Linked DNA regions of Xenopus tropicalis. The protein of the gene in region 3 purifies or fractionates together with the protein of the main gene of each other region. This does not show direct contact. Links are inferred from orthologs where the notes say so. Each region holds a gene or a part of one and is shown on either strand. Other genes may lie near its edges.

Evidence for each region. Proteins that work in one complex are often made in the same cells at the same time.
Region 1: the proteins of derl1 (region 3) and amfr purify together in Homo sapiens (affinity purification with western blotting; 4 studies listed by BioGRID, with this or other methods). This does not show direct contact. The link is inferred for Xenopus tropicalis from reciprocal best matches to the Homo sapiens genes DERL1 and AMFR.
Region 2: the proteins of derl1 (region 3) and rnf5 purify together in Homo sapiens (affinity purification with western blotting; 4 studies listed by BioGRID and IntAct, with this or other methods). This does not show direct contact. The link is inferred for Xenopus tropicalis from reciprocal best matches to the Homo sapiens genes DERL1 and RNF5.

Annotation. Positions count from the first base shown.
Region 1 is NC_030680.2:51,715,404-51,719,647, reverse strand, and holds the start of amfr (E3 ubiquitin-protein ligase AMFR), read left to right. Parts: upstream 1-1,394; 5' UTR 1,395-1,485; coding exon 1,486-1,716; intron 1,717-4,244. UniProt on the Homo sapiens protein: E3 ubiquitin-protein ligase that mediates the polyubiquitination of lysine and cysteine residues on target proteins, such as CD3D, CYP3A4, CFTR, INSIG1, SOAT2/ACAT2 and APOB for proteasomal degradation.
Region 2 is NC_030684.2:73,547,166-73,551,473, forward strand, and holds the start of rnf5 (E3 ubiquitin-protein ligase RNF5), read right to left. Parts: upstream 2,851-4,308; 5' UTR 2,838-2,850; coding exon 2,737-2,837; intron 1,116-2,736; coding exon 1,097-1,115; intron 1-1,096. Other genes in the region: agpat1 (1-acyl-sn-glycerol-3-phosphate acyltransferase alpha), read left to right, coding at 3,078-3,180. UniProt on the Homo sapiens protein: Membrane-bound E3 ubiquitin-protein ligase that mediates ubiquitination of target proteins. May function together with E2 ubiquitin-conjugating enzymes UBE2D1/UBCH5A and UBE2D2/UBC4.
Region 3 is NC_030682.2:139,688,761-139,692,323, forward strand, and holds part of derl1 (derlin-1), read right to left. Parts: intron 2,257-3,563; coding exon 2,230-2,256; intron 1,540-2,229; coding exon 1,444-1,539; intron 1-1,443. UniProt on the Homo sapiens protein: Functional component of endoplasmic reticulum-associated degradation (ERAD) for misfolded lumenal proteins. Forms homotetramers which encircle a large channel traversing the endoplasmic reticulum (ER) membrane.

The sequences.
Region 1 (4,244 bases), on a different chromosome or scaffold from region 3:
ATGGAGCAGAGGTTGGCCTGAAAAACACTGCAACAGGAGTTTTTAGTGTGACCTCCGCTTCAAGCACCTGCGCTATCGCATCTCACCCCCCCCCCCCCCGTGTTGGCGCACATGCGCAGTTCGGCGGGGGGGGGTGTGAGATGCGAACCGATAGTTCATTACCCCCGCCGCGTAATGACAAACGCCGGGGTCAATGAAACCAGAGCACAGCACAGACTAGGGGTAGGCAGGACAGGCTCCTGCCTGGCGCCCCCCAATTGTTGCGGCCTAGGCAGCTGCCTCTTCTGCCTACCCCTAGTTCCGGCCTTGTTTCAAGCACCTGCACTCAGAAGGAAGCTGTACTTTAAAGTGCAGGTTCACAGAGTGATATACGGGGGCGAAGAAAAATGCAGGCTGAGAGAAGCGGACCAAAAGCTTTTTGTGCCCAGGCCCTAAAACACTCAAGTCCAGCCATATCAATAGGTTATCTGAAAGCAGTCCTGTTATGTAGCGCTGGCTCCTTCTGAAAGTTTAGACTCAGGCACCAATATTACAACAACAACAAAAAAATGTATTGGTTTAATGGTAGAATTAATTATTTGCACTGTACACAGTGTAATTTATATTAAATTAATTATATTATTAATTATTTATTAATTATTTTATTAATTAAAAAAAAACTATACTATAAAAATCTTGACAGAATTTCTTCAACATATAATGCCTAGATATTAGGCAGGCAAACTAATGTTTGGAAAAAAGTTTTCCTCCTTGCCGACCTCGCGATTGCATGAAGTATTTCCTATGGCCAAGGTGTTGCATAAAGAGAACAGTATACACAATATTATGTGTACCGCATCGCTAGGCAGTTTACAGATATCAACGTTCATGGCCAATCTCTATCCAAACAGATCAATACCTGGGCAAATTTGCTGATTCCTACTGTTCCAGTTCCATTTACCACTGATATCCGTTCATGTTTATCTGTATATTTCAAGACTGAAAGAAACAGACATTTGCAATTAATGGAAAGAAAGGGCTCAATGCTGAACCATTACAAAATACAAATTTCAGGGAAAGGCTAGACACATTTAAAACACAAGTAAAGGCCAAGCATACTGTCAGGGTACTGTTTCAGGGTACTCGTTATGTTGCTGAAAAGGCTTGTTTACCCTGTGCTAAACCTGATTCTAGAACAGGGATAACCAGGCTAGGGCTTGTCAGTGTGTAGATAAACTTCAACACTGCCAGCAGGCTACGTAGCTCTGCGCTGGGAGTTGCAGTTCCGGCAGCCACGGGTTGGATATGCCTGGCTTGTAGTCATGCGTCTGGCGGCCGGCAGGGGGCACAGACGTATAGAACACACACTAAGTAGGGCTGTAATGGCTACGGGCAAAGCCTACTAGACCACAGCGTCCAAATAGGGCCAGCAGCAAGCGGTGCGAGCTGCTCCCACCCGCGGCGGGCCCTCCCTTCGGTGTGACAGGCCCTTTGGACTAAGGCAAGATGCCGCTGTTATTCCTGGAGCGATTCCCCTGGCCCAGCCTGCGCACTTACACCGGCCTGAGCGGCCTGTTGCTGGGCCTCAGCCTGCTAAGCGCCTATCGGAGCCTGAGCGGGGAGGCGGCAGAACGGAGCATGCTGGAAGGAGAGGAAGCTGGGGCACAGCTGCCACCTGAGCCCGTGGACTTAGTTGAGCTGTTCCGGTACCTGGTCTCTGACAGTCTTGGGGTGTGGGTGAGTGTGGCACCCTGGGCACGGTTACGGCTGACATCTCTAGCTGATTTTAAAGTACAATTCCTGAAATTCACGTCAACCCATGGCATTAAACCATGACTGTTTCAGAGTTGTAAACTGGCATAAGGGAGAATCATTGTACAGGGTAACGCAGGGACATTTTTGCTGTCTCAGCAATTCAGCCATAGCTCCAGGCAACATCAGAGCAGCAAATAAATCTTCACCCCATATTTTTCACTTCCCTTCTGGAGGCTTTGTAGGCCACAGGGACATATAGCAGAACCCTGCAATTTCCCCGTAATAATAAAACAGTACCATGTACTTGATCCCAACTAAGATATAATTAGTCCTTATTGGAGCCAAAACAATCTCCTGCCCCCCATAAGTGAGTGTCAAATTCTCTTAAGGCCCTCATACACGGGCCGATAGAAGCTGCCGATATTGGTCCCTTGGACCGATTCGGCAGCTAATCGGCCTGTGTATGGGAAGAAACGAGCGGCCTGGCCGACCGATATCTGGCCTGAAATTGGGCAGATATCGATCGGCCAGGTTAGAAAATCCAGTCGGATCAGGGATCGCATCGGCTCGTTGATGCAGTCCCCGAACCGACTGCCCATGGCCGCAAATGTAATCCGATCGTTTGGCCCCAGGGCCAAATGATCGTATTATTTTTTTTTAAGCAACTTGCTACCCGATATCGCCCACCCGTAGGTGGGGATATCGGGTAAAGATCCGCTCGCTTGGCGACATTGCCAAGCGAGCGGATCTTATAGTGTATGGGGACCTTTAGACTCTTAGCAGTGTTATGTGTGTGGCATAAAGCATGTGCATATCTTCTGATTAAATAAGTCCATTGGCATAATTACTGGGGGGTGGGGGCACGGTTGCAAATTTCATGCCTAGGCATTTAGCTTACAGCCAAATAAGTCTTCTGTTGTACTTTACAGATGTGGGTCCCAAGTTACTAGGTATTAGACTAGGCTACATTTGCCCGTAAACTACAACCAGTAAAATGTTTGCTGTCATTATTTTTGATATGTATTTTTGATTAAACAATAATGGATTTTTTTTTTCCCCTCTAAAGGTGGCCATAACACAGGCCAATTGTAACTGCTGATATCAGTCCCTTAGACTGATTCGGCAGCTTATCGGGCCATGTAGGGGCAGCAACGACAGGCATGCCGACCGATATCTGACCTGAAATTGGGCAGATATCGATTGGGCAGGTTAAAAAATTTAGTCGCATCGGGGGCTGCATTGGCTCCTTGTTGCGTTCCCCTAACCGACTTCGCCGTCGTTACAACTCGATCGTTTTGCCCTAGGGCCTAAATTTGCCCGATTGCTTACCCATAGGTGGGGATATCGGGAGAAGATCCGCTCGCTTGTCGACCTTGCCAGGCGACCGGATCTTTACGTGTATGGCCACCTTTAATGGGAAATCCGTGAAATGCCCAAACTGATTTTTTATCACCCAAATAACTTTGGGTTAGTTGACATTTCTGTAGCTCTATTACAGTGACTTAGGCTTGTTTCACACTAGACATACGCAAGCAGTTTTGCGCCAAATTCCAGGCTGACACAATGGGGCCGATTTATTAAAACACGAGTTCGAATCCCGAAAAAAATCCAAAAGTTCGGATTGGATACGATAATTTCTGAAGATCGCAAATATCACGAAAATGCTTACGAAAAAATCTTATTAGTCATGATAATATCGTATTGGCGATCCGAAAGTCACAAAATTTTTGCACCGAACGTTTGTAAACAGCGGCAGAACCTTTCCAAATCAAGTTGTGCAAGCGGGAAAAAAACGGCAAAAATACGCTCAGAGCGTTCGTGTCTTAATAAATCTCCCCCAATGTCTCTGGGTGCAGCCAAAACAATTACATTTTTCAAGCACGTGGTGGATTCTTGATCCGTGTTTACCTGCAGGCCGAGAATCTGCCCGTGTGGCACTAGCCTTAAAGTAATTGCTGTGTGATTGCTGAGTCGGCACCAGAGCAAGCTTTGCACATGTTATGCAGGGTTATGTTCATGTATAATCTTTAAAGGAATAGTAACACCAAAAAAAAATGTTTTAAAGCAATTAAAATATTATGTACTGTTGCCCTGCACTGGCAAAACTGATCTGTTTACTTTAGAAACCTTAGTATAGTTTGTATAAATAAAGCTGCTGTGTAGGAATAGAGGCAATTGGAATAGAGCTAAATGGCACAGGTTAAATAGCAGATCTCAGTGGAACACCATTATATTCTATAGAGCTTATCTCTTATGCAACTTGCGCTTTTTCTCCTTTGAAAGGCTGTTCCTGTAGCTACATAGCAGCTTGTTTATAAAAACTATAGTAAGGTTTCTAAAACAAACACATCAACTTTACCAGTGCAGGGCACACAATACATTATATTTTGATTACTTTAAAATACAGGTGTGGGACCTGTAATCCAAAATGCTCGGGACCTGGGGTTTTCCGGATAAGGGACCTTTCCGTAATCTGAATCTCCATAACTTAAGTCTGCTAAACATAATTT
Region 2 (4,308 bases), on a different chromosome or scaffold from region 3:
CCATGGAGGTAGCCATTCAAAGGAGAAAAGGCACAGGCACATAGCAGATAACAGATAAAACACTATTGTATTCCACAGAGCTTATCTGTTATCTGCTATGTAACCTGTGCCTTTTCTCCAGCTTGAATGGCTGCCCCCCATGGCTACACAGCAGCTTATTATATAAATTATAGTAGTGTTACTGTAGCAAACACACCAGTTTTACCAGTGCAGGGCAACAGTGCATTATATTTTTATTACTTTAAAGCTCTTTCATTTTTTGGTGTTACTGTTCCTTTAACCTTCAAAGCCCTCCATTCCTCTGCTCCTCACTACATCTCTTCCCTTGTGTCTCTGTATGTTCCTGGCCGACTCCTTCGTTCCTCACAGAGCGATCGTTTGGTTGCGCCCCCCACTACTACTGCTGTTTCCCGCCTTAAACTTTTCTGCCTTGCTGCCCCTTACATTTGGAATGCCCTCCCTGATTTCCTCCGAAGAGAATCCTCCCCCAGTCTTTTTAAAATTAAACTTAAAGACTACCTTTTGGAGCACTCACCCAGCACCTGATCTGGGAATCAGCACTTATATTGTAGTGTCACCCACTGTGACCTACAGCACTTATAGTGCATTTGCCTATTTGTGTCTGTAAGTTACCCTCCCATATAGATTGTAAGCTCTACGGGGACCTCCATCTTCTTGTGTCTTTGACTCTTAACTTATTGCAACTGTATTTATCTTGTATCTATCTGTATTTATTGTTGTACTTTGTATTTATCTATTATTTAATAATCCCCTGTTTGTATTAATGTATTGTACTGTACAGCGCTGCATACATAAGTAGCGCTTTATAAATTAAGATATACATACATACATACATACTTTTCACTATATGAACAGGTTGCAGTCAATATGCAAACGGTTTGAACTACTACAAACAAATAAAATACCCTTCATGTATACTACAGTAGTTTATCTATGTTATGCTTTTATTACAAATAAATATTTCTGTAACACTGAACATGTGATCTGAATGAAACCGTTAGCACTGCTAGCTGCTGCTGCTACAAAGCTAAAGAAGAATTTAACTCATTCTACTTTTTTATTAATAAATACATACCTGATGCAGACAAGGCCAGCTGTAAAACACAAACATAACATCAGAATACAGAACACAATGCAGTTTTAACGATCAGCGTTGTTATATAAACACACATACAGAAACTACAAGCAGTGGCATTTTACAAGCGTCTCTTCCATACAATACATATAAACAAAATCTGTTTACACTAACAAATCAGTGTTTATACTTTGGACACATTATCTGTTTAGCCTTGCGGTCGTTTGTGAAAAAATATTCATTTTAAACATATGAATCTGAACATACTTTGCGTTTTCTGGCTTAAGCCAAGTGAGTTTTAATGATATAATGAAATATGTAAAGCAAAATGCACTTTCTTTGGCTAAGACAAAAAACAATATTGTACCAGCTGTGCTTACAGGTTCTATTGGAATATTTGTGCTTAAAATGGCTGTGCTTGCAGATATAGCCTAGTTTATAATTCAATTGTAGAATTATGAAGACATTGATTTTCTAGAACAAGCATCAAAGGATCCTCTAATTGTCACCTTTAATTTCAAGCATCTACAGGGCACAGGCACATATGTACCAGCAATGTAGAATCTGCAGTTCCAGGGTTTCAGTTTAATCCAACAACACAAATCATGGCGTGGATCAAAGGGGCTCAATAAGTGAAAGGATTAATATATTCACTGTAAGATTGGGTTAAACATAGAAGATTGCAGGGTACAGTGAAAATACATCAAGAGAACCTGTTAAAATTTGCTTATAACAAGATTACAAAATGTCAAAGGGGAACTGATGCAAAAATAAAAATCAGCTTTATCTTAAGAAAATATGATTGGTCAAAAAATATATTTTGTACTATTTCTTTAATATTTAAGTTACTCTTCAGTCTGTTTTTTTTGTTCATGGAGTAGTCAGTGAGGACTAATTCATCATTGGGGATGCATTCCAATTGCCTAAAGGAAATCACTCTTTCAAAATAACCAACTCGCACACAATCTTGATCCTCTACATGAATTATTTGTGCTTAAGTCTGCTTTTATGAAAGAATTAACTCAAATACATCTTCTATGGCAGGCAATGGGAGCCCCACCCAATAGCTGTATTAAACATGATTGTCAATCATAATCAGACTCCTGCTTCAAGAAAAAAAAAAAAACAGAAAACATTGAAACAATGTAACAGTAAGGTCTCCATTTTTATTTTATTTTATTTTATTTTTTTAAATCATTGCAGACAATTTTCCTTTTTTCATTGCAAAAAAATAGTTTTTGTATGGAGGCAAATTTTAATACGTTTAGAAGGTTTGTTTTTCATGACATGCAACTTATATTGCATTTTAGTTACCCTTTAACATGCTGTAGCTACAGGTCACATGATATGGTTCTAAGAGCATTCAACACATTCCAACTAGTACTCTGGGCCTCATTCTTTCCCCTCATCCAATGCTTTGAGTCCTTTATAGGGGAACAGTTTCAGTTGGGGTGAAGCTTTCCTGAATATTTCGGTCTTGTACTTTACTGATAGCTTTCTGACCGTAGCCGAACCCCCTAACAATGCATTCCTACAGCAAACTAAATACATACCCACTGAAGGACACAGTCTCAGCAAAGCAGAATTAACAAGCTTAGCAGAGACCTGCCTACAGGGCAGACACATCACATTCCACTCACCAGTACAAATGCCCACACACGCTGACAACAGGTTCCCGCGCTGTCTCCAAGCAGATATTACACTCATAAGCCGCACCGGGGCTGCCAGCAGCCGCCGCCATGGCAACCGATCAACCGGAACCTAGCTGTGCAACTAGCGGAGCGTCACGGGAAAGGTTAAAGAGTGTATTGGACGCAAAGATAAACAAATCTTGTGTGTGATAGGGTGGACAAGTTCTCCATCACAATTATGCACCCCTATTGGCTATGCACTTTCTAGTTAGCTGTCAAGCAGTCAAAATGCTGATTGGTGATACTAGGATAATACGTGACATCGATTGGTTGTAACTCCCGTCACTCAAATGCTGACGACACCTCTTGTCTCGGATAACCGTTATGACGCGGCGTCTTGCGTTCGTGCGGGAGTGGAATACACGTTCCGGGCCCACAGGGTTTTTTTTTGTTGTAGGTTAAAAACTTTATTCCTTGTTAAAAGAAGGCAATAATGAACAATCCTTATTTGTAATCGGAGGTGAAGACTGTTATGGTAAAATTATTCGAGTAGAGTTACCAGCAGTGATACGTATTTTATAAACTACCGGATAACAATATATTTTATTGAAACTTGTGCAATATTATGCGATAGTTTCATAAGTGATGTGTTTAGAGGCCTGTCACCGGCAAAATCTGCAAGCAAACTTTGTATCTGTGCTATTAACGCTTAAGTACACACACATACTTCCACCCAGCCCTATATTATATTTATAGCTTTTACTTTGTAAACGGAAGATTCTGTTGGTTATATTTAGCATCGTTCAGACTGTAGGTCGGAAAACAAAATCGATGACTGGTTTTTTTTGGTGGGGGGAGGTGGTTTTCTATGTTTTTTCCTTTAGTGAATTTTCTTCCTACTAAAGGCAGTACTGATTCAAATTTATATATTATTATTTATTCTAAACCAGTTCTTGAAGCAACACCAAGCCTGACTTCCAGGCTAAATCTTAGTTCCCTGAGAACAAGTTTGATAAACCCTGATTAAGATATTTTAAATGTAAGTAATAGTAGTAAGAATGCAGGACAAAATGCCATATATTTAGTTCCTATAATTTTGTAGATGACAGTTTTTTGTTTTAATAACTATAGATACAATAAATGCATGTGTTTTCCTTTAGTAAGGTTACTGTATTACTGTAATAAATACATTTTTTGTTACTTAGAATCTGAAGATAAGTGGTTCCTGTATAATGAAACCATACAGAAACAACTCTTAAGGTGGCCATACACGGGCCGGTTGTAGCTGCCGATATCGGTCCCTTAGACCAATTCGGCAGCTTATCGGCCCGTGTAGGGGCAGGAACAACGGGCGACCTCACCAAGCGAGCGGATCTTAACATGTATGGTCACCTTTAGGGTAGTGGCACTTAGAGTCAGGCCAGGACTGGCAATCTGTGGATTCTGGCAAATGGCAGAAGAGCTGCTGCAAGGTGACAGACCATCGTTATCTATTGGGCTTTCTGGGAGCAGTTTGGGCGTCTCTGTAGTTTAAATTCCCATACATATTTTGAATTCCAGTCTGGACCTTATAGGAGTGCC
Region 3 (3,563 bases):
TCATAAGAAGTCTTTACTGATAGGAGAAAGCATTTCAACAAAATGCAAGATGCTGATGGGGGGGCTGTGTGGGCCTGTGTGTACTTGGAATGTCAGGGCCTGTTTTGGCCCTTGGATTTATACCCCAGGGCCTTGGTGTTCTACCCTGTTTCCTTGCTGTTCTTCTCCAGTCCCTTGTTATTCTACCATGGTGCCAGGCCCAGACTGGCAATCTGTAGATTCAGGCAAACACCAGAGGGGCTGCTGTAAGATGCCATAGACAGTCACTATTTATTGGGCTGGGGGGGCTGTTTGGGCCTCTGTGTACTTGGAATGCCAGGACCCAGGCCCAGACTGGCAATCTGTGGGTTCAGGCAAATGCCAGAGGGGCTGCTGTAAGATGCCATAGACACTCGCTATTTATTGGGCTGGGGGGGCTGTTTGGGCCTCTGTGTACTTGGAATGCCAGGACCCAGGCCCAGACTGGCAATCTGTGGGTTCAGGCAAATGCCAGAGGGGCTGCTGTAAGATGCCATAGACACTCGCTATTTATTGGGCTGGGGGGGCTGTTTGGGCCTCTGTGTACTTGGAATGCTGGGGCCTATTCTGAATCCCAGTCCAAACCTAGTCTAACAAAATGCAAGTCTACTCCCATGAAAGCATGGACTGTATTGTCCCATCTCAGCCACTAGATGGAGCAGAACAAAATCAGTTTTTGGGTGGAGATGCAGTTTATTTGTCAATATCAGATCCTCCGTAGTTGGAGAGCAGCTTTCAGGACCAATTTATTTGAGCCTGTCTATTCATATTTCAGCTAATGCCACATGGGGCCGATTCCTGGCCTCAGAATAAACACAGTCCTGTGCTGACATCAGCCTTTACCGATGCGCCTGCATCTGAAACCATTGTGTCAGCCTGGGTACAAGAACATGGAGCAGATTTTGGCCCCAAAATGCGCAAGTATGCATAAATCAGGGCAAAAATCTACTCTGTGTGCCTGCACCCAGACCAACGCAACGGCTTCAGATGCAGGCACCAGGAAAGGCTGATATCAGCACAGGGGCTGATTCTCAGGCTGCGTAAAGCTCCCTATAGGTCATGAAGATCATTATTCATGAATAGGTTTGCTTTTGTAAGTAATGGTTACATGAAGTTCCTAAACCTGACTGTTTTGCCAACCTGTCACTTCTCAGCCTGTCAGTTATAGCTTCTAATGCTAACGGCCTACTGCTGCACAAATATGGCCGCCCCCTCATAGAGCAACATGGAGGATCAGATAGGGAATGTAAAAGCATCAGGAATTACTTTCATGGCAAATTTATAAAGCTCATGCAAAGACAATATTATGATATATTTAAAAACAGTTTAATTTGAGGTTTCATTATCTCTTTAAATGAAAAAGGTAATATTAGGATAAAGGCATGCTATATCTGAGTATTTGAGGACAAAAAGGAGGCCGTTTACCTTAAATCTTGTGCCAAACCAGAATGACACAATCATGTCTCTGTTGAGCTGGGCCCAGACATACAGAACCGACATGATCAGGGGGATCATCAGCAGCTGTAACATATAAACAGGACATGTTATATACACATCCACACGTATATTCTCCTTACCCCTATCCATGTACCAAATGATCAAATTAGCCCAATTAGGTGGCCACCTAGAAGATTTGCTCGTTTGGCGACCTTGTGTATGTATATGTGTATGTATATGTGTATGTATATGTGTATGTATATGTGTATGGCCACCTTGAGTCCCAATCACATGCACACACAATGGTCTAATGGCAACCAATCAAGAGTTAGTCTGTCCTGCCTAGGGCAATAAGGGTAATGACAGATGGCATTTGGGCAGTTACTACAAACCCCCTTAAAATATTATTATTACACTGCTATAGATTAGTGAATGCAACAAATGTGCCTGTACTTATGAATACTGGTTCCCTGTGGGAACTCCAAATGGGGAGTGTTGTTGCCTTGCAGTGTTGGGGTTGTGGGTTTGTGGCCTGGGCACTGCAAGGAGTGTGTATGTTCCCCCTATGTCTGAGTGGGTTTCCTCTTGGTACTCTGGTTTCCTTCCACACTCCAAATACATACAGGCAAGATTCCTGTTGCTAGGAAAGCTGCACTGGGCAACGTTTTGCAAAGCAACAAAAATGGGGGGAAACTATGCTTTTCACATTAATACAGTCCTTTTGCCTTCAGTGCAGAAACAGAAGCACTAGCAAATGATTTCTTTCAACCTTACCTGCATGTTCATTATGACTCCAGTTATCTTAGAGTGCCGTTAAAGAAAATAAGACTATCATCTACTGACTGCCTAAATATGACTTCATTTGTACAACGCCCCCTTCTGTATACTGCTGTATGGCGCCCCCTTGCTTATTGCCAGGTCAAGTCACTTCGTACCTTATATCAGTTCCATTACATGTCTATCCCCCCTTATTATATGTAATAAAAGGCACTAAGTTTGCCCAGGAGCAGTAACCCATAGCAACCGATAAGATGTTTACTTTTAAACAGGTGACCAGTTAATTCCACCTGTTGATTAGTTGCTGTGGGTTACTGCTCCTGGGCAAACTTAGTGCCTTTTACTACCTCTGTATAAAGCCGCCCACTGGTATAAGAAACGCCTGTTATTCACTAAGGTGACAGATCAAATGATCACTGATTTGTATGACCTTAGTCTTAGCATGATACACACAAAAGCTAACAGTCACACCCATGATTAGTTGGCATGTGTAACTGCCTTATTTGCCCATTGTTTATAAATAAGCCCCACTGGGGTGTTGTGCCTAGCAGCCCTGAACTAGCCCTGCTAGTTGCTCAAAATTATATTTTCTTTTATTAGGCAACATTTTATTTTTGGGTTTATATCCCCTTTAACGGGAACAACAAAACAGCTTCAACGTGCAAAATTGTACTTAACTCTGCATTAACCTTTTTAAAAATTTTACTCCTGGTGACCACAATGGATAATTCACATTACTGGATGTTTAAGGAGAACTAAAGCCTAACAATCATGGCCAGAAGTATTGTATATTATATACTAAACTTCAGCATCCCAATAACAATAATGATCCAGGCCTTCAGTCTCGTCCTCAGCAGCTCCCATTGTTGGATCTTGTTAGGCCATTGACTGTGTGTCAGTGGCACTGCACATGCTCAGTGGGCTCTGGGCTGATGTTGAGAAGCCAAGTTTAGGGTTGTTGCAAATTATCGGGGAGAGAATAAAGTTTGGCTGCCATAGAAGCTGATGCTACAAGGCTGATTATTAAATTCTGATACAAACTGCCCTGGATTGTGAGCTGTAATGAGAATCTGAACAAATGACTAATAAGCCTTGTAATGTAAGATCTATATTGTAAACCAGTACCTAACCTCAGGTAAGTGCCAGCAGCCCAGAGCATGTACTAGGAATCAGCAGAAAAGAAGATGGGGGGCTACTGGGGCATCTTTAAAAGGTACAGATCTTCCCTGCTAAAGGGCTGTGGTTGCCCAATCATCCACTACAGAATGCTTCATGATTCGCTGACAGATTGTACAGATAACTCGGATGTCCCTTAATGATTTACTGATGGT